Schizosaccharomyces pombe: one gene and its partners. Changing the gene in region 1 together with any one later gene gives a genetic interaction. Each region holds a gene or a part of one and is shown on either strand. Other genes may lie near its edges.

The links.
Region 2: of SPOM_SPBC713.07C (region 1) and dri1, changing one suppresses a phenotype caused by changing the other (phenotypic suppression), as found in Schizosaccharomyces pombe (one study listed by BioGRID).
Region 3: of SPOM_SPBC713.07C (region 1) and spc2, changing one suppresses a phenotype caused by changing the other (phenotypic suppression), as found in Schizosaccharomyces pombe (one study listed by BioGRID).
Region 4: of SPOM_SPBC713.07C (region 1) and met16, changing one suppresses a phenotype caused by changing the other (phenotypic suppression), as found in Schizosaccharomyces pombe (one study listed by BioGRID).

The regions. Positions count from the first base shown.
Region 1 is NC_003423.3:877,599-884,054, reverse strand, and holds SPOM_SPBC713.07C (polyphosphatase), read left to right. Parts: upstream 1-1,966; 5' UTR 1,967-2,402; coding exon 2,403-4,136; 3' UTR 4,137-4,226; downstream 4,227-6,456. Other genes in the region: MIM complex subunit Mim1, read right to left, coding at 1,380-1,595; adl1 (DNA ligase), read right to left, coding at 4,227-6,456. UniProt on the Schizosaccharomyces pombe protein: Catalyzes the hydrolysis of inorganic polyphosphate (polyP) chains of many hundreds of phosphate residues into shorter lengths.
Region 2 is NC_003424.3:2,008,726-2,013,561, forward strand, and holds dri1 (RNA-binding protein involved in heterochromatin assembly Dri1), read right to left. Parts: upstream 2,981-4,836; 5' UTR 2,971-2,980; coding exon 1,180-2,970; 3' UTR 620-1,179; downstream 1-619. Other genes in the region: rdl1 (RAD51D-like protein 1), read right to left, coding at 1-116; rRNA processing protein Ebp2, read left to right, coding at 4,207-4,836. UniProt on the Schizosaccharomyces pombe protein: Mediates heterochromatin assembly by promoting RNAi-mediated heterochromatin silencing and histone deacetylation. Binds pericetromeric transcripts and recruits the RNA-induced transcriptional silencing (RITS) complex to heterochromatin.
Region 3 is NC_003424.3:3,862,415-3,865,574, reverse strand, and holds spc2 (signal peptidase subunit Spc2), read left to right. Parts: upstream 1-2,070; coding exon 2,071-2,574; downstream 2,575-3,160. Other genes in the region: ribosome methytransferase Hpm1, read right to left, coding at 33-1,052; protein Sil1, read left to right, coding at 2,840-3,160. UniProt on the Schizosaccharomyces pombe protein: Component of the signal peptidase complex (SPC) which catalyzes the cleavage of N-terminal signal sequences from nascent proteins as they are translocated into the lumen of the endoplasmic reticulum.
Region 4 is NC_003424.3:2,305,453-2,309,653, forward strand, and holds met16 (phosphoadenosine phosphosulfate reductase), read left to right. Parts: upstream 1-2,071; 5' UTR 2,072-2,276; coding exon 2,277-3,077; 3' UTR 3,078-3,426; downstream 3,427-4,201. Other genes in the region: acyl-coA-sterol acyltransferase Are1, read left to right, coding at 1-1,506; arb2 (argonaute binding protein 2), read left to right, coding at 3,574-3,760, 3,807-4,117, 4,158-4,201. UniProt on the Schizosaccharomyces pombe protein: The NADP dependent reduction of PAPS into sulfite involves thioredoxin which probably plays the role of a thiol carrier. Required for methionine synthesis.

The DNA of each region.
Region 1 (6,456 bases):
AATTTGTGTGATCGTAGACTTCCTATTTGTGTTGGATGCGTACTAAAGTTTGCTTGGAATCCTGTTAATACATGTTTTTAAAAACCACTGAAAGTGTATAGCAATGCTTGTAGAGCGTATATCCAAGATTTAAATAATATGCTATGTAATTCTGTGCGATGGGTAATATAGTTAATTATTTAAATAGCTATAAAATATAGAACGACTACTGTTTAGGTTTGTCCATGCTACATCTTGGAAGAAAATAGAAATATAGTATTCTTGTTGGCTAATGCAATAAATCTTCAAGTTTATATAGCAAATTGTGAAGTCAGTATTCGTAAATTTGACAAAAATTTAATGATAATTTATTTTTTCAGATTTGCTGACTTTAAGTAGTCGGTATCTGCTTTTTATGCATAAACAAGAAGATTCAGTTCGAGGATCAGAATCCTTTTTTGTATCATCAAACTTGAAATTGTCTTATAACATCATTAAAGCCAACCGAGTGTACCAAGCATGCGATAATGTAAGTTTTAAGAATCATTCAAAAGTATATTTTTCAAAGCTTGAGCAACGACAGAAATAACCTGTAAAATTCTAATGAATCAATGGGCTGTGCAATCAATTTATAATCAGTTGAGATTTGTTGCTCTGAGAATAGTAATACTTACACGCCTTTACAAATAAGCGTGTTTTAGTCATTAAGTTAGAGCACTATCGTTGTTCGAATACAATAACAATTATTTAAAAAAGCGATGTGATGAGGAAAACAACAAAAAGCGTAGTACTGTCATTCAAATCAAAGTAATGTAAAAATAATGAACAATTTTAAACAATGATGATAGCTTCGATACTTGTCTCACAGCTCATATAAATCTTCGTTGACACCTTTTTCTATACTATGCTACTCAAATCAATTTGTCGGTCCGAAGAAGCGATGTATAACGTGTCACATAATGTTAATATAAAGGGCATAAATAAAATCAAAAGTAATTATACTTAAAAAACAGAAGAAGGAAGCTCAAGGAAAACGATCATAAATAAATTAAATGCAAAGGAAATTAAATGTTATTTTGCAAATATAAACACAATTCATTTGGGCTTAATTCGTTTTCCATCCCTTGAGCATATATATTCTTTGCATTGTGCCAAAGAAGCTCTTAATATTGTGGGAAAAGAAAATAAAAACAATAAAACTAAAGAAAACGATCATTAAAGAGAGTGCAAAGCTGAAACCATAATACATCTGAGAGAAACATGAGTTAAGCATTCGAGTATCTCAAATTTTATGAATACTCGCCTCAGCTTAAAATGAAAAAATAAAAAAATCACGAATAAGCAAACACCATTTCCCTCAAATATTAAAGATAAATTTCCTCGCACAGCTATGCTTCATTTTAGGCTTGAATATACTGATGTCTTTGAATAGAATAAATCCTAGTATGACCTGGAGCCCAACCAAGAGAGTGGATAAATGCATGAGCAAAGATCTCCCCGAATCCCAACATAACTCCATTCAAGAAAGGAAGGCCCAAATTAATTGCCGCATACTTGAAAATATGAATAACTTGTGAAAACAAGGTTTTTGGAACTGTAACTGTATTTTTCTCCATCCTGCTTGTCCAACAAATACTATAACGAAACGAACCAACCGGTAATCAACACAATTTTCAAATAACTCCTTTAGAGAAGTTTTTATATCAACTTTCAAAGCAATTGCACGAATAATATTTTTGGCGTAAATTCTATTATTAAGAATCAACTGAGTTGATGGGGCAAGTATATGTGGAAGGATACTTTATTCCCAATCAAAATTACGAGTGTCCCGTTCTTAGATGCTGTCAACGCTTTAAGGCGTCAGGACAATGGTTAATGAGCAAAACACTTTCCTCCTTATTCATTTAACGAAATTAAGTTAGTAACTAATACCGTAATGCAAGCTCTGACAAAATATAAAATGCGACATCTTTCATCATACATATATAGCGGTGAACACAACATTCGTCTTCACTAGGGAAGAGTATCACGGATCTTTTAACTGCTTCCATTACGAGCATCGAATAGTCCAAACCCAAATTAAGTGTTCTCTGGGGTTTGCAAAGCTCAGAAGCAACTTCTATTGACTCTGCAGGACTTCGGTTCATGACTACCCGCTCGTGATCTTAATTTAGATCGATCTTTTTGTCAAACAGATTAACAATACTTATTTCATTAACGGCTACTGGGAAATTTTGATTTATTTAAGTTGTACTGAGTTCAAAAGCCCTTGAATCTTTCAAACACCATTTTTTGTTTTTGAAATTGCCTGGGAAATTGTATTACAGATTTTGGAAAATTTCGTCCTAGTCTGAAGTGTCCTCTTTTTTTCTACTTAGGTAAAGTTTTTTTTTCTTTTATATACCGATTTCCTTCTTTTTAGAATGCGTCCCTCTGTAATCACGGTTGCTGTTCTTTTTGTACAGTCGACATGGGCTTCTTTTGCATTTGGCAACCCTATGAGTATGCGAAATAAAGCGCATACAAATGATTTAGTTAATAGCAAAGGAAAACCACTTGTTGGTAGATTTTTGCATATCACCGATATGCATCCTGACATTTATTACGAAAAAGGATCCACCGTCGATCATTATTGTCATTCCTATGATCATAATTCTGACGATACTCCCTTGGGTAAAAGCAAAGTGGGTTACCTCTCTCCTGGTCCTGGTTATGAATGTGATTCTTCACCAGCATTAATTGATAAGACATTGGAATGGCTTAAGGAACATCAAGATGATGTTCTGGGAGGCATTGACTTCATACTGTGGACTGGTGATAATTCTAGGCATGACAATGATAACCATTTTCCAAGAACACAAAGTGAAATTCTTGCTTCAAATGAGGACTTGGTTAATAAAATGATAGAGGCGTTTCCTGACGTTCCAATTGTTTCCGCTATCGGGAATAATGATATATATCCTCATAACATTATGGAAGCTGGTCCATCTTCAATGACTCGACAACTAGCTGGTGCTTGGGATGCTTTAATTCCTTATGAGGAACGACACACTTTTGAAAAGGGCTCTTATTACCTATGTGATGTGATTCCGGACAAGCTAGCAGCAATTTCCATTAACACTCTTTACCTATCAAACAAAAATGCCGCGGTCGATGGTTGTCCTGATGATAATCTAGACGAACCTGGTTCTCTTTTTATGCGATGGTTCAAAATACAGCTTGAAGCGTATCGGCTAAAGGGAATGAAAGTTTGGCTTCTAGGACATATTCCCCCTACAAGGGGCCAGTGGTATGAAGATTGTTATACTTCTTTTACGGATTTGCTTTATGAGTTTCGAGATATTATAGTTGGACAACTCTATGGTCATATGAACATAAACCATTTTGTGTTTTTGGAATTCGATAAGTTACCTGTTGATACAGAATCTTATGGAATCAAAAGTGCGCAACCAAAATATGTAAAATCTTTAATTGATGCCCAATACGCGGAGCTTCCTACATTTCCCGAGAATTTAACAGAGGAGTTTCTTAATGGAACCGTCGGGAATTACTCCTTGGCTACCGTTGGTGGTTCGATTATACCTGAAATGTTTCCAACTTTTCGCGTTTACGAGTACAATATTTCTGATATTGCTAATCAGCTGGATGATCGGGAAGAGCTAACTGAAATCACTTCTTTTAACTGGGAAACGCTTGAAGAGCAGTCTCAATCAGATTATGAGATAGACAAGAAAAAGAAGAAAAAAAAGAAGAATAATAAAAAAAAGAAGAAGAACAAGAGGAAGAATATTAAGCCCGGTCCTTTGGGACCGGCATACGTTCCGTCACTTTTTACTCCTATTTCATTTAAGCAGTATTTCTTAAACACGTCAAATTACATGGATGCAACGAAAGATACCGAAATTTCTTATGAATTGCTATATACTTCGAAGGACTCTCCATATAATATGCCTGATTTAACTGTGCCAGAGTATATGCGTCTAGCAAAAAGAATAGCAACTTGTGACAAACCAGAAGATCCTCATCAATTCAAATTACAGAGTGGCGATCAAAACACTTTTAGAATTTCTAAAAAGAAGAAGCCATCTATTTGTCCGATAGCCTATACATATCTTTGGCATGCGTATATTGGTTCAATATCGGATTTTGAGGACTGATGATTGATATATTTGTTGCCATACCTTTAATAATATTTATTTAATATACAATCAACGATGTTCCTTGACATTTTGAGTTCATCACGAACATCAAGTATTAAGTTGTTTCATATACATGTCAGCCAATATTGAATTCGTGGATGCGTCCTCTGGTCCTTTGTCTGACCGAACTCTAATGAAGCGTGGGAATCGAATTGATAAACCGCGATCATCCTGAATTAATCCCAAAGCCGCCTTGTATGCAGGTGAGGATGTTATTTGAGCACCCTTAATTTCCCAAACTTCTTGAGGGGCAAAGTATATTTGTGGAGTTACCTTACCTGTTTCGCAAAAATTATATATGGGTTTAAGACTGCTATTGCCAGATTCTAAGGAATACTTTTGTGTTAATTCCTTATAAAATTGGTCACTAAAACCGGACATGCATTTACAGACTGCTTCATACGCGCCAGTGTCTGGATTGTAAACAGCAAGCAAAATTGGACTGAACCATCCGGCTTTTCTTCCATTACCGTACCAAGCGCCTATGGGAACAAGATCCAATGACTCAAATTCATCATCATAATCCTGTTTGACTTTAATCCATCCCTCACCTCTTTTATCAGGTTCATACGTTGAAGGAAACTTTGAGTTTGTTCCATTCAGTACCTTCACCATTAATCCTTCGCATTTATTAGTAATTGCAAGACTAAAAAATTCTTGAATGGATTGCTCCTCATTTGTTTCCAAAGAAGACACGAACTGAAAGCGATTTGGAATTAAATTAAAATGCTCAAAAAACATTCTTCTTCTTTCAATTAAAGGCATTTGTAAGCAAGATTTCCCATCACAAAACATAATATCAAAAACAAAAACACACACGTCTATTGTAATATCAGCCACTGTAACTTTTTTTCTTTCTCTAGTTGAAAGTTTTTGAAAATCCAGTATCTGACCATTACTTTTGTCAATAGCCACCAATTCGCCTTCTATAATAAAATCACATGAATGTTTCAATGCTAATTGAGCAACTTCAATGACATCCGGAAATCTTCCTGTAATTTCCTCCAAATGGCGGCTAAATATCTTAATGTTTCCAAGTCTATCGCAATGAATTTGTGCTCTTTGTCCATCGTACTTGAACTCACAAGAGAAGTTATGATCAGTCAATCTTTCTAACATATGCTGCAAATTCTTTGTGATAGAACCAAGCATAGGTTTTACTGGGATTCCAGGGCGAATAGACATATTGTCTTTTAAGTTTTCTATCCCCTCTCGAAGAAGGGTTGCAACCAAAATGTTATAATCAGGGACCTGAAAGAAACTTTGTTTAACAATCTCTTCTCCTTGACGAAATTGTTGTTGAAGTGAGTCAGAATTAAAATTAAATATTTCGTTTTGATTGTCAAAAATAAAAAAAGCTTTGCTTAGTGAAGCTAACATGGTGTTTTGAACAGCCCCTATTCTTAGATTTTGCATTATACTCCTCCCTATATATCGAACCTCCTCAGCATTAGAACTTATCAATAAAAATTTAGTTAACTCTAATTTACGGTTCTGGGCACCATTACCGTTACTGTCAGCAATCTTTAGTAAAGTAGAATAAACCTTCTTAATAGTCAAAGGTTCTGGTCTGCTTAACGTGCGCACAGACACTTTAGCTTCGAACGCTACATCTCCTGGATCGCCATATTTGTTCCATAAATTTTTCAAAGCACTTGCTGTAATGCCACAAACTTCTTTCAAAGCTTTAGAGTACATTGCAGGTCCGACACCAAGGTTTTTTCCATAAAAGTTGGGGGCAATAGAATTGGTACATAACCAAACTGTTGCAATTAAGGAATCAGGATCTGCATACAGAAGTGTGAGAAGGAAATTGGTTAATAATGTGACAATGCGTATCCTGGATTTGGTAGAACTAATTAAGGAAAAGGTGTTAGCAAGTGATGAGTAACTGAAGCTTTTTGTATCTTTTGAAACAAATCGGGCTCGACAACTTTTCACGTAAGTCAAAGGATCTTTCTGTAAAGCATCGTAATCAATTGTGGAATCTTTGTTCACGCTATCAGTTGAGAAAAAAGAAGCTTTGCATTCTTCGCTTGTAACTAAATTCTCCTTAGGTTTATCATTGCTTTCTTTTACAACATTAAATGTGTCAGTATGATACTCTTCTTCAGGTATAATTACATCTTTAGGAAGCTTTTCCGGAGCAGTAGCTTGGTTCTCAGAATCAAAAAGCTGTTGAAGCTTTAATGCATAAGCATAATCGCTGGCGCTTTGATCGTGATCGGTGAGCAATTTGTTTGGTGTATCTGTAAGCTGTGCTTCTCGTTTTGAAAAC
Region 2 (4,836 bases), on another chromosome or scaffold:
AAAGTACCTAAAGTATCAATCCACATAATTCTATCAAACCTAGAGTAATAACTTTTTAGAATCCAGTAAAGCATCAAGTTTGCAGAATTTCCACTAAATTGAGTAACCTGATTCATAATGTCAGAAAATATATAAGCTGCTTTAAGAATTTGCTTGGTATGCTTTAAACTTTCGATAGAATTGTTTTTTCCAACGATATTGATGATCAATGAAATTGATTTTTGCAATCATCCCCTGGTTATGCTAATGGCATTCTAAAAGAGATAAACACCCAAATGCGTTGAAGGAAAAGATACGTACAATCGTCAAAAATTTCCGGAATGTTCAACAAGTATTTAACTAATCATGAGTGTGTGTTGAATCTTATCTCATGTTTTTTGTTGAACTATCTACATGGATTATATTTAATTAGGGTATGGATTAAAGAAGCAGAAAGGTCGTCAACATTCGAGTACAGTATATAGCCACACTGGTGTGGATTTGTATATATTGAGAATAACCCTTTAAGAATAAAAAGAAAAAATAGAAAAGCATCAACTAACTGTTTTTAAATGCTACATATGCGAATTTAATTCTCTCTAATAATGCCATGTATTACAAGTAACCTCATGTATCGATTGATTTAATCATTATCGTTACAAAATTTTTATAAATTATATAATAAAAAAAAGGAATATTAACAATACATTATTTACCGAAGAACCCTATAAATTTGAACAGCACTGACAACTGTAAGAGGTAAACAACCATTTTTTCAAACGTTCAATGAGTGTGACACTCCAAAACAAATGAATCCCCAAATCCCAAATATGGGAGAGCTCTATACGATTGACTGCTGTTTTTTCCCCGAAAATTTCTTCAAGGTCAAAAATTAAATAGCACTAAATAGAAGAAAAAAACCCACCAAAGAAAATTATGAACTAATTTTGACCACACCTGTAATTCAATGTTTATGCAAAACCTTCATAAGAAAACCCAATACAACTTTTAAATTTTTGTTCCAATAGAGTTGCTTTTCAAAATGCTGCCTTTAAATAATAACAATTGTTTCATCAAATTTGCTCCTTCAAGACATAAGTGATTATTTTTATCGCACTAATCACTTGCATTTTTAGCTATAGTGTTTACCAAATATCCTTTGTACTACGGGACCTATCCATTAAATATAATTGTCCAACTTTACACGTAAGCATTGAAATCCGAAGGCAAGGATGCAGGAATCTGCATATTAGAGTAATGCGGAGCATTGCAACGGAGACAATTACTGCGGCGACGAAAATTAGTAAATCCACACTCACATAACCAATCGCCTTGATCAGTAGTAACGGAAGGACGTGATACTTCTTTAAAGCGTCCATGATCATCGAACCTAGATACATTACCACCATTTTGTCCCCCAAAATTTTGACCATGATTAGCCGTTACTGAATTTATAGAAAGTTGTGAGTAAGGATACACCGAATGATTAGGAGGACTTGTACTCATAACAGGGGGGATGTGAGAATATGAATTATGACTATACGAACCATTCACCGGCCCAGATGCATGATCTGCTACGACTGCAGCTGTAGCACGGCTAGCCCCACAGCGTAAGCAGCAAACATTTTTTGCGAAATTGTGATATCCACAACCCTCAGAGCCACATTTCCAATCACCAGCACGAAAAGGGACATTACCACCGAATGAGCGTGAAGAATGATGATGATTTACAGCATTATTGCCATTCTGATGCTGAAGATCACTTTGCATGGTATTTTCGTTAGAATGATGGACAGATCCACCATAGTTGGCAATAAAGTGAGAGGAGCCGTTGCCGTATGAATTTCCATAAGGGAAATCAGGTGAAAAAGTATTGCTACCAGTAGCAGCTGAAACATGAGTAGGACCAGGAAATGAGCATCGGAAACAAGACGTTCGACGTTGAAAATTGCTGAAACCGCACATTGGGCAATTCCAATCCCCAGGGCGTGGGCGATTCTTACTAGAAGGAAAAGGAATTAGAATGTCTGAAGCTTTATCTAAAACCTTTGTACTACTGGGAATAATTTCCAGCATCCGATCTCCTAAGCAATATCCATTAAAGGCAAGAGCATCGGCAGCATCTTCATGACTAGCAAATAGCACAAAACCTGTACCCGTAGATTTGTAAGGTTCGGGAGTCTTTAAAGTCCATAAAGCTACGGGATGAACCCCATGATTAGTAAACCAACTTTCCAACTCGAGCTGTGTTACATCGTTGGTCAAACCTGCAACGTGTACAATTTTTGACCGTTCTGCATAAAAGCTTCGTGCGTCTGCTTGACAGTTAATGGGTTGTGTAAGCACCGAAGGAAGAGAATGACCTCGAGAATCTTTCTCTGCTTTACGAAGCAATAAGGTGGTAGCATTTGCAAGGCGCCAGCATTGAGTAAGACCTTTGGTTATGTAAGGAGCATCTGAAGGTGATAATTCAATTGCTTTTGACTCTGTAATAGGTGGTAAAGAGTCGACATCTAATTTACCAAAAATATGAGAAAGCGTTATTGTGTATGGTGGTACTGCACCCATGCGAATCTGCCACTTGGCGTATTCGCTTGATAAATCAAACAAGCGAGGATGGCGCATGTAGGAAGGTAGCGTAATTCCCTGATCCCGTGCTTCTTTTGGCAATAATACACGAAGCTCTCTTCCATTCATAACAACAAATGTAAAAGGTTTTCCTTGGAAGTTTAATCGTTCTTGGATTGAATTATCCAATGTGAAGATAGCTTCAGTTAAGGAACTAGCAGAACCACAAATTCCATGACGAGAACTATCTTCACGAATACTACACGATTCACAGTGTTGTTTTTCCAAAGTTTTTCCATCTAATATAACCCAGCATATTTCATGAATTTCACATGGCGCCCGGCCAATGCTAATGCCGTGATCGTCAAGATTTGTTTCAAAGTGCAAAACAACCAAGTCGCCTACCGATTCTGGCAGAGGCATTGTTGGACTTGGTAGCTTTGACATGATATTGCAAAGCTACAAACCCGTTGGTGTTTTTCTTTGTCACTCACAAGTACAGTCACAAAAGTAACAAATCTAGATTTAGAATCCACCTAAGCGGAATTATTCAAAGGAGAAAAATCTTTTATGAACAATAATATGTACAACTGATGTTACTGTCGAATCGTGTATTGTTGTGGGATTCTTTTGCATGCAAAGCAGAAAATTTAGCAATACTTTCGAAACACAATGAAAATGAAAATTTTACGATAAATTATTATACCATAATTTAGCGCATCAAGCATTTGGTATTCTTATGTCAGCAATACTACACTACGTTGAGTATCACTATATGTCACATGTTCTAATTATATATCGTACCATGTATAATACGATATGGAGATTGATCTTAATGATAATCTATTAAGATCAATATTATCTGAATACTATAAATAGAGCTACTGCTGAACCTCGTTCCTCAGTTCAGTTATGAGCTATATTAGTGATAGTTAACATTATAACCCAGTTAATACAATACCTATACTCAGTTGCTACTTATACAACCTGTGTATTGTAATATAATAGATCACAAGGAAAACTCACCGCAGTTCTACGTATCCTTAAATCAGATACCAAACTGCGTAGCTTACATCTTATGAACAATACCGGGGTTTTTTGTAACCACGTAAACAATCAAAGAACTGTTGTTTATTTTGACAATTGTATCAGGAAGTCAAGGGAAAAGTTATACTGAAAAGCCATCCATTGAAAAGTATTTGTACATCTTGCTACATAAAAAAGCTGATAGTAATTTACTTACACAACTGATAATTTACTAAATTACCGTCATTTCAATTAGAGTTGGTGTAATGTAGCAAAACATAAATTTATCAGCAATAACTCTACAATCGATAAAATGCGACCAAGTTATAGCTTAAAATTGATACAACGAATTTTATACGGACAAATAAAGGGTTAAAATTTACGTTAAGGATTTATTAAATGCCTTCCGTACAACCTAAATGAAGACTAAGAGTAATATAACGCAACGTTAATCAGCTTAGCGATTCTAAATGTGCTCTTTATTATTTGATGTGAACTGCAATAGTAAAAATCTTTGTCACCGTTAGCCTAATCGTAGATTGTATTAATCAAAGTAGCACAAAGCAAATTTTTCAAAACCTTTGAAAAATATTCAAATTCAGCTTTGTGTAGAATACACACTAGACTACAACGATGGCAGGAATAGAATCAAAGCAAAGAAGAGCTCAGAAAAAGGCAGCTAAAGCTGCTATGAAGGAAAAGAAAAACAAGGAAAGCAATGAATCTTCTACTTCTGTTGAGGCATTAAATGAGAAAGAAATGATCAATACCATTAAATCTCCTATTATTGAAACAGCTGATACAGCTGATCAAGAGAACGAATCTGAGGGATCAGATGAAGTTGAACTTTCTGATCTTGAAGGAATTGAGTTGGAAGAAGACGCTGATTTGATTAGAAAAAGAAAATTAGCTATAAATAACACTGTTGCACTAGAGAACATCTATGAACGAATTAAATATCCTGATGATATTTCGTTTGTTGAAAACCAAGCTGTTACTACTAAGGAGCCTATAATAATTGAAAATGTTGAGGATGATCTTGCCCGTGAACTGGCCTTTTATAAACAAGGTGTGAGCTCTGTAAAGGCGGCTTTTGCCAAACTTCGTGAGGCGAATGTTCTAATTTCCCGACCTCATGACTATTTTGCGGAAATGTTAAAGTCCGATGACCACATGGAGAAAGTGCGTCAAGAGTTGATTAAAGAAGCAACCGCTAAAAAACTATCCCAGCAAGCTAAGAAACAACGAGAACTCAAGAAGTTT
Region 3 (3,160 bases), on another chromosome or scaffold:
GCTTTGAGTCTTTACCCTATAATTAAGAAATGTTATAAACTTCCGGGTAAGGGCGATTGAGGAGAGGAATCAATATTAGAAGGAGGAAACTCCTTTTCCCAATACACAATGGATCTCCCGACATTTTGAGTAGATGTCTTAATTGCTTTAAGAGAATTAGGGTCATCAACAAGTTTCTGCAGTCTCGAATTAAATTCCAAGATACTACCCCCGACTCCAAAATACAAATCCTTACCAGCAACTAATGCGAGATTTTTGGTATTTTTGAGAAGCATGTAAAGAAAGTTTTCGAGTGACGGAAGGGAATAAATGGTTTCAGAAGCTAAAACAAGAGAAAAGTAGTGATCTCCGTAGGTACGTTGGATTAACAATTGCATCTCTTCGCTCCAACAACCGCACAAGAATTCACAATAGATATTGGTACGAGCAAGATCATCACTAAATTCTTGTAGTAAACTAGGGGATACATCGATGGTACCATGCTTTTCTGAAGAATCATGTTCTTGAGTACAAAAGTACCAGTTTAGCAAAAGGTTAGGTAAAGTAACGTAACGAAGAACATCAACATTGAAATCTTGGAAAACCAAAGTACAAGGGATACGATGCTTGTAAAATTCCTGAAAACAGCTCAAAATAGGAATTGCACTTCCACAACCCAACTCCAAGACCGTCGTCAAGTTGTTTTTTACAACATCTATCTTCTTGATTTCATTAGCAAGGTCCAGGCTACATTCCCAAGTTTTGTAACCACCCTCGTAAACGTTAGGAACAAGATCATTACAACCATCTAAAACTTTGAGTTTATCGTCGCTTTCTATGGAATCATCTTGTTCCATCAATTGCATTTTCACATCCCATAATTCCCTTTGTACAAACGTATGTCCTAACCCAGAAACACGAGCGTATGATAACTTTTCTGGAATATACTTCAACATATGTCCCAGAGAATCCGATTCTATAGCAACGCTCGGTAACGAATCCGCACCGACATCTTGGCCGTTTAAATTGTTTGGTTCATCGTAAAAGCCAAACGAAAACCCATTAGCTTGCATATTTGCAAGTTGATTGATTTCGCAACCTGTCTTGGCTTTAGTAGAAATTGTATGTCTTGATCCTAGTGTAGGATTTTTGCGTACAGCGGTACGACTCGTTCATGTAGACAAAATAGCAAAACCAATGTGAAGAGTAAAGAAAGAGTAATTACAATGAATTAAGGTTAAAAGTTTATTGAATGGTTAATTAATCATTACTCGTGGATAGAGAGAAAAGTTCCATTTTCAAATTCGTTCATACATTTTATTTGTAAAAAAGGCGAATTTCAGAAATTGGATTTAGGATTGGAGCCCTCGCAAGTGGCTCTGTCTTGCCTAAAAAACATTTGTATCAAACGAAATCAATATGCTTTGTAGTTTTTGCAATCTAGCTTTTCCTATAGAAAATAGCAATTGCTTGTTAAACGGTTTGTACCGGGTTCCTTATCTTCATTTGCATAATAACTTACAATTAGCGAGTGAAAATTGAATAAATAAAAGCGAGGAATATGTTCATCGAGGGATATCACTATTGGAACAAACAGGTTTTGCGAAAGGAAATATCAATATTGTACTCCTCTATTTTTTTACTAAACGCCAAGTACTGCTACATTCAAACAACATTTTCCATTTCATAATCCTTTTCAACAGTCATTGCGATTGCAATTCTGATATTATTATCGAGACAAGGAAATGAGCATGATATTTTGTACCAAATTAATTTGTTATGAAACCCTTCCGCCAATTTCTATTGAGAATCCATATATATTTTTTATTTGGCTATTATTTCAAATTTATGGCTCGTTGTATTTGAAAGAGCATGATAGTATTATAAAGTACTTAGTAATCGACTGTTTTGCTTTCGTTCCAGTAGCGGAGTTCATGTTTTTGCTCTCAGGCATTTATATTAAATATTAAAACATCTTTTAGGTTACTTAATTTTAAAAAATCATCATGCCATCGTATCAACGAAACCGCATATCTGATCATCAGTAACTACAGCCTTGCTTCCTCTACCATAATTAAGCTAATAGTAAAAATGCCAAAATATAACGTTTCAGATTTCAAATCTAAATTTGATAAAGAATTAACAAACCATTTTAACAAAAATGGTTATAAGCAATCCTTTGTATTTGAAGATATTCGTTTGCTGATCGCAATAGCTTGCATTATACCCGCCGGCCTCGCATTTGGCATTGAGTATGTTTATGGTTTTGGTGTTTTAAAATCTTACTTAAAGTATCTTTTACCTTTATATTTCCTAGCTTCCTGCTTGCTCACATTTTGGTCTTCTGTAGTCAAGGGTAGTACTGTTTATGTTGCTACGAAAAAAGAAAGACACATCAAAATTTCTGCGGATACCTTTTTACCTTTGAAAAATAAGCCTCTAATCACTACTAAATTTACCGTACTCAAAAACAGAAATGCTGTTCAACTTGAATGGTCGGTTCCTGTTGCTCACATTTTTGAAGAAGATGGCCAAATATCAAGTGCAACTTTTGAGGCGGAAATTTCAAAGTACTTGTCTCAAATTGAAAACTGATTGAGCTCAATTTTTTTAATCAATTCTCAATTTGAGTTGTTGCCAAAAAGCGAAATACTCAATTACTACATTTTCGTTAGAAGGCTTCCATGCCTGCCACAACGTCCGTATCGTATTCTTATTTTTTAACATGAATTTTATTGCTACGTTTTCCATTTACCAGCGGCAATTGCCTAATCATGCTATGGATTTTTTTTTCTTGAAATCTATCCTACCATAAACCACTCTCTAACAGGAGTGAAAAAATTGGAGATTAATCGGTTCAATGTTTTCGATTCTGGGAAACTCGTCTAAAAAGAAAAGAAATACTCAAATTTACAGAATTTTTTTTACTTTAACATTCTCTTTGTCGAATCTATTTCTTGCAATATGTTACCTTTTTTTGAATGTGAGGACTGTAAGCTCAGATTCATCTGTTTCACTTTACGATAGACAGTTGTTCGATCAGTCATCTTCTGTAATTTTAAATCCTGATACTTCAGACCCAAGCATTGTGTTGTCGTCTTTAGAAACAATGCGTGATTTGGCTCATGATATAAAATTTGGTCAGGATGTACTTGAACAGCCTCTGTGCGATCAACTTTTT
Region 4 (4,201 bases), on another chromosome or scaffold:
CCCGAATGCCGACTCGTTGTCAAATCCAAGGGTGATAAAAATAACGCAAACGTTGTTGAATTTCCTCTGGATCGTCATAAACAATTATTAATTGCAGGAAAAGTTTACCATGATTATAAGTTTAAGCCTCGTAAATCGATTTTTGATCGTGTAACCGATCCTAATTATTTCGCAAAAAGTGAGTTTAGAGGGTTTTATGTGCTTTTTTGGCTTTCAATGGCTGCATGGGTACTACAGTTATATGCAAGAAGTTATTGGCAACGCGATACTTTGCTTGGTTTACCACTAGCTAGACAGGTCTTTCGCCAGTTTTTCGTGTTGTTTAGCTCAGATTTCCTTATGATTTGCCTCAGCTTTTTTAGTTATGGTTTACAAGTGTGTATTGAGAAGAACATGATTAGATGGGCTAATTTGGGTTACACAATCCAAACTTTGTGGCAGGGCTTTTATATGGTGTTAGCTGTCTATTGGGTTAAGCATCGAGATTTTCCAATTGTTCAATGTGTTTTCTTCACGCTGCATTGTGCCGTTCTAATTATGAAACAATTTTCTTATTCTCACCATATGGGCTATATCAGTGAGATTCGTATATTGCATAATGAATACGAAAAACTTTTAAAGTTTGTTCGTGAATGCCTGAATTCCACCGAGAAAGATGAGAAATACACGTTTGAACTGACTTTTCCCAATAAGCCTGCTGAAACGATATCTACATTGCAGGCAGAAGAAATTGTCGCTTTAACAGCAAAATATTTGTCACGCCAGATGCGTAGCGAAGTGGGCAATGTTGTTTATCCTGATAACATCAATTTCTTTAATTACGTTGATTATTTATTAGTTCCATCCCTTGTCTATAGTATGGAGTTTCCTAGAGTTGCCCATTTCCGTTGGCATTATATGGCATTTAAAGCAGGCTCCACATTCGGTTTACTAGCTCTCACCTTGGCTCTTGTAGATTGGTATTTCGTTCCAAGTGCTGTGGCTGTCAAAGATCTTGACTTCATAGGGAAGCTACGCATTGCTCCCTTGTTAATGAACAAAATTATGTTTCCCGCTATCATACTTTACCTTATCATGTTTTACCTGATTTTTGATTGCATTCTTAATGCATTTGCTGAAATCACTAAATTTGCCGACCGTGGATTTTATGGTGCTTGGTGGAATACAGTTACATGGGATGAATTTTCGCGCGAATGGAATAAGCCTGTCCACGTTTTTCTCATGAGACATGTTTACCATTCATCAATTTCCGGTTTCAAATTAAAAAAATCTCACGCTGTTCTACTCACTTTTTTAATTTCCGCTCTTGTACACGAATTTGTGATGCTGCTCGCAACTGGTAAATTCCGGTGTTACATATTAACATTTCAATTATTACAAATTCCTCTTTATGACCTCCAACAAATGTTTGCTTTCAAAAAACGCGATATCCTTGGTAATGTGTTTTTCTGGATTGGAATGTTCACTGGTCCTTCATTTTTATGTATCTTATACATTGTCTTTTAGTATTTGTTTATGAGTTTGGTGGGTTTATTAGGCTAAGACTTTTTCTTATCATTCCCTTTTTGTCGGATATTTATTCTGGTTCTTGGAGTTGTAAATTAATTGCTTAAAACAAAGTGCCCTTTTTTTGCATATTGGATTTACGAAGGTTTATACCATAAAAAATTTTTTTCGTCTCCTTATTACACACCTTTAATATTAACTATAATATACAAAACGTTATAAAAGATTTGTGCATCAACCTTTGACTAACGTTATTGAAATAATTAAAGAGAAATTTTTAGTTCATTAGAGTTATAAATTTAAAACCAAAAATAAAAAAACGGTGTAGTAACATTAAAATGCGCAAAATCTCTCTCTTTCATCTCGTATTTGATACATTTAATAATATTCATTTATTCTAGTATACAATTCACTAACTATACTTAAATGCTAATGATCTTATTCTTTTTTTCTACAATTTACTATTACCAACTAAAATAGGTATCGTCTTGTTACCTCTTCCTTTGTAAGCATCGATGCAGATCTTCCGTAATAATTATTTTCCAAACCTGTCTGACTATTCTCTAAAAGTCTTACAGAGCACACCAATAGCTTCTATAAAACTATAAAAGTAAGTGTAAGTAAAATTTTTCTGCGTACACGACTCAAATTTTTTTTTTGGTTTTTTTGAAAAGTTTTCGACTTTTTATCTTCGGTTTAAACCATTGGTTCCTCGCCGACATAATTGATTTCGTCCCAAATTTTGGTTTTTCTAATTTATTGTACTCAATATGAGCTCAATCGATACGCCTGCTAATAAATTGCAAGCGAAAACCTTGTTTCACCCAGAACATCTCGAATACATCAACAAGCAGTTATCGGAGCTTAGTCCTCAAGATATCTTAAAATGGTGCCGTTGGACACTTCCTTCTTTGTTTCAAACATCTGCGTTAGGACTGTCCGGGCTTGTTATTATGGACATGTTATCGAAAATGGATATGAATGTTCCTCTGATTTTTATCAACACACTTCATCATTTCCCAGAAACACTGGATCTTCTTGAAAAAGTCAAAACTAAGTATCCTAACGTGCCTGTTCACGTCTATCGTTGTGCTGAAGCAGCCAACGAAAAGGAATTTGCTCAGAAGTTTGGTGAGAAGCTTTGGGAGACAGATGAATCTCGGTATGACTTTTTAGTCAAAGTGGAACCAGCAAGTCGTGCTTATTCTGACTTAAATGTACTTGCTGTGTTTACTGGCCGCCGCCGTAGTCAAGGTGGAGAGCGCGGATCTTTGCCCATTGTTCAGCTGGATGGACCAGTATTAAAGATCAACCCCTTGGCTAACTGGTCTTTTACTGAAGTTCATAATTATATTATTACAAACAACGTTCCATATAATGAACTTCTGAACAAGGGTTACAGATCAGTTGGTGACTGGCACTCTACTCAACCAGTTAGAGAAGGTGAAGATGAACGTGCCGGACGTTGGCGCGGTCGAGAGAAAACAGAATGTGGATTACACAGTCATCCTCAAAGTAAATTCGCACAATATATGGCGGAGCTTAAAAAGAAGGAGACGGCTGATCAGTGAAACAATCCTTTTGTGCAATGTTGTAAACTGCTTTTTTGTTATCGAAGTGCACCATATGAAAAAATACGGCATTTTTAAGTAGACAATTCAAGAGTTTCTCTTTGTTTTAGTTGGTCATTGTGAGAAGGTTTTCAGCATACATTCTTAGTAAATGGGTTAAATTATTATCGTGACGAAGAAGGTTAGGGATACACTATGAAGAAACTTCTCGGTGTTTACACCTATACAAATAGATATATTAGAAATAAGATGATTTAATTATCAAAAAATTGAAGTGGTTTATACGTTGAAATTTGAAGACCTAAAACCATATGAACTTACAATGCTTTCCTCCTTTTTTTTATTAAATATATAGAATAAACTATGTAGTATTGATCTACAAATTCATATATATATTTTTTAACAACAAAAATTGAGTCACCATTCAATTATTTTGTAATGTCACCTACTACTAACCGACTTATCGTAATTTATTATTGGTAAGTAGGCCTTACATATGTTTAGGAAAAAGAAATCCCGTGTACTCCAAAGGGACGTCAACTTTGGGAATTGTCTTGAAGACATGAATCTCCAAATTACCAACGATTTTTACTTGAGGAAGTTGAACGCGCCAAATGAGCTATATGAATTTCAAGTTACCAAAGATAAAGAGTACAACGAAAAATTCTATTTTGCTGTACTTGGTAGGGTAATCATTTAATTCAGGAGTTAACTTGCAATTGAAATTAGATCACGTTTACAGTTGGACTTTACAAAATTCCCTTCTAACACGAATATCTATACCATTGGAATCTTCACCGTCAGAACCACATAGTTGGATATATGCAACACGAAATTGGCAAACTAATGAAAATGGAATAGTTATAATTATACAGTCAATGTCGCACCCCTTAATCTGGTCAAATAGAAACTTGCGCGAAGGCGATGTGAGACGTGCAACTGTACTAGATGTAATAGCCAAATGCACAGAAAAGAAACTTTCAGTTGTAATATTTTCTCCCTCTGCGCTATTATGGGACCAAAGCATTAATTTCCCTAGGGTATGTGCAAATTTATTCAATAATGTTTACCAAAATTTAGACAACCCGTTATTTCACCTCTCAGGGACTTCAAATCACTAAAAA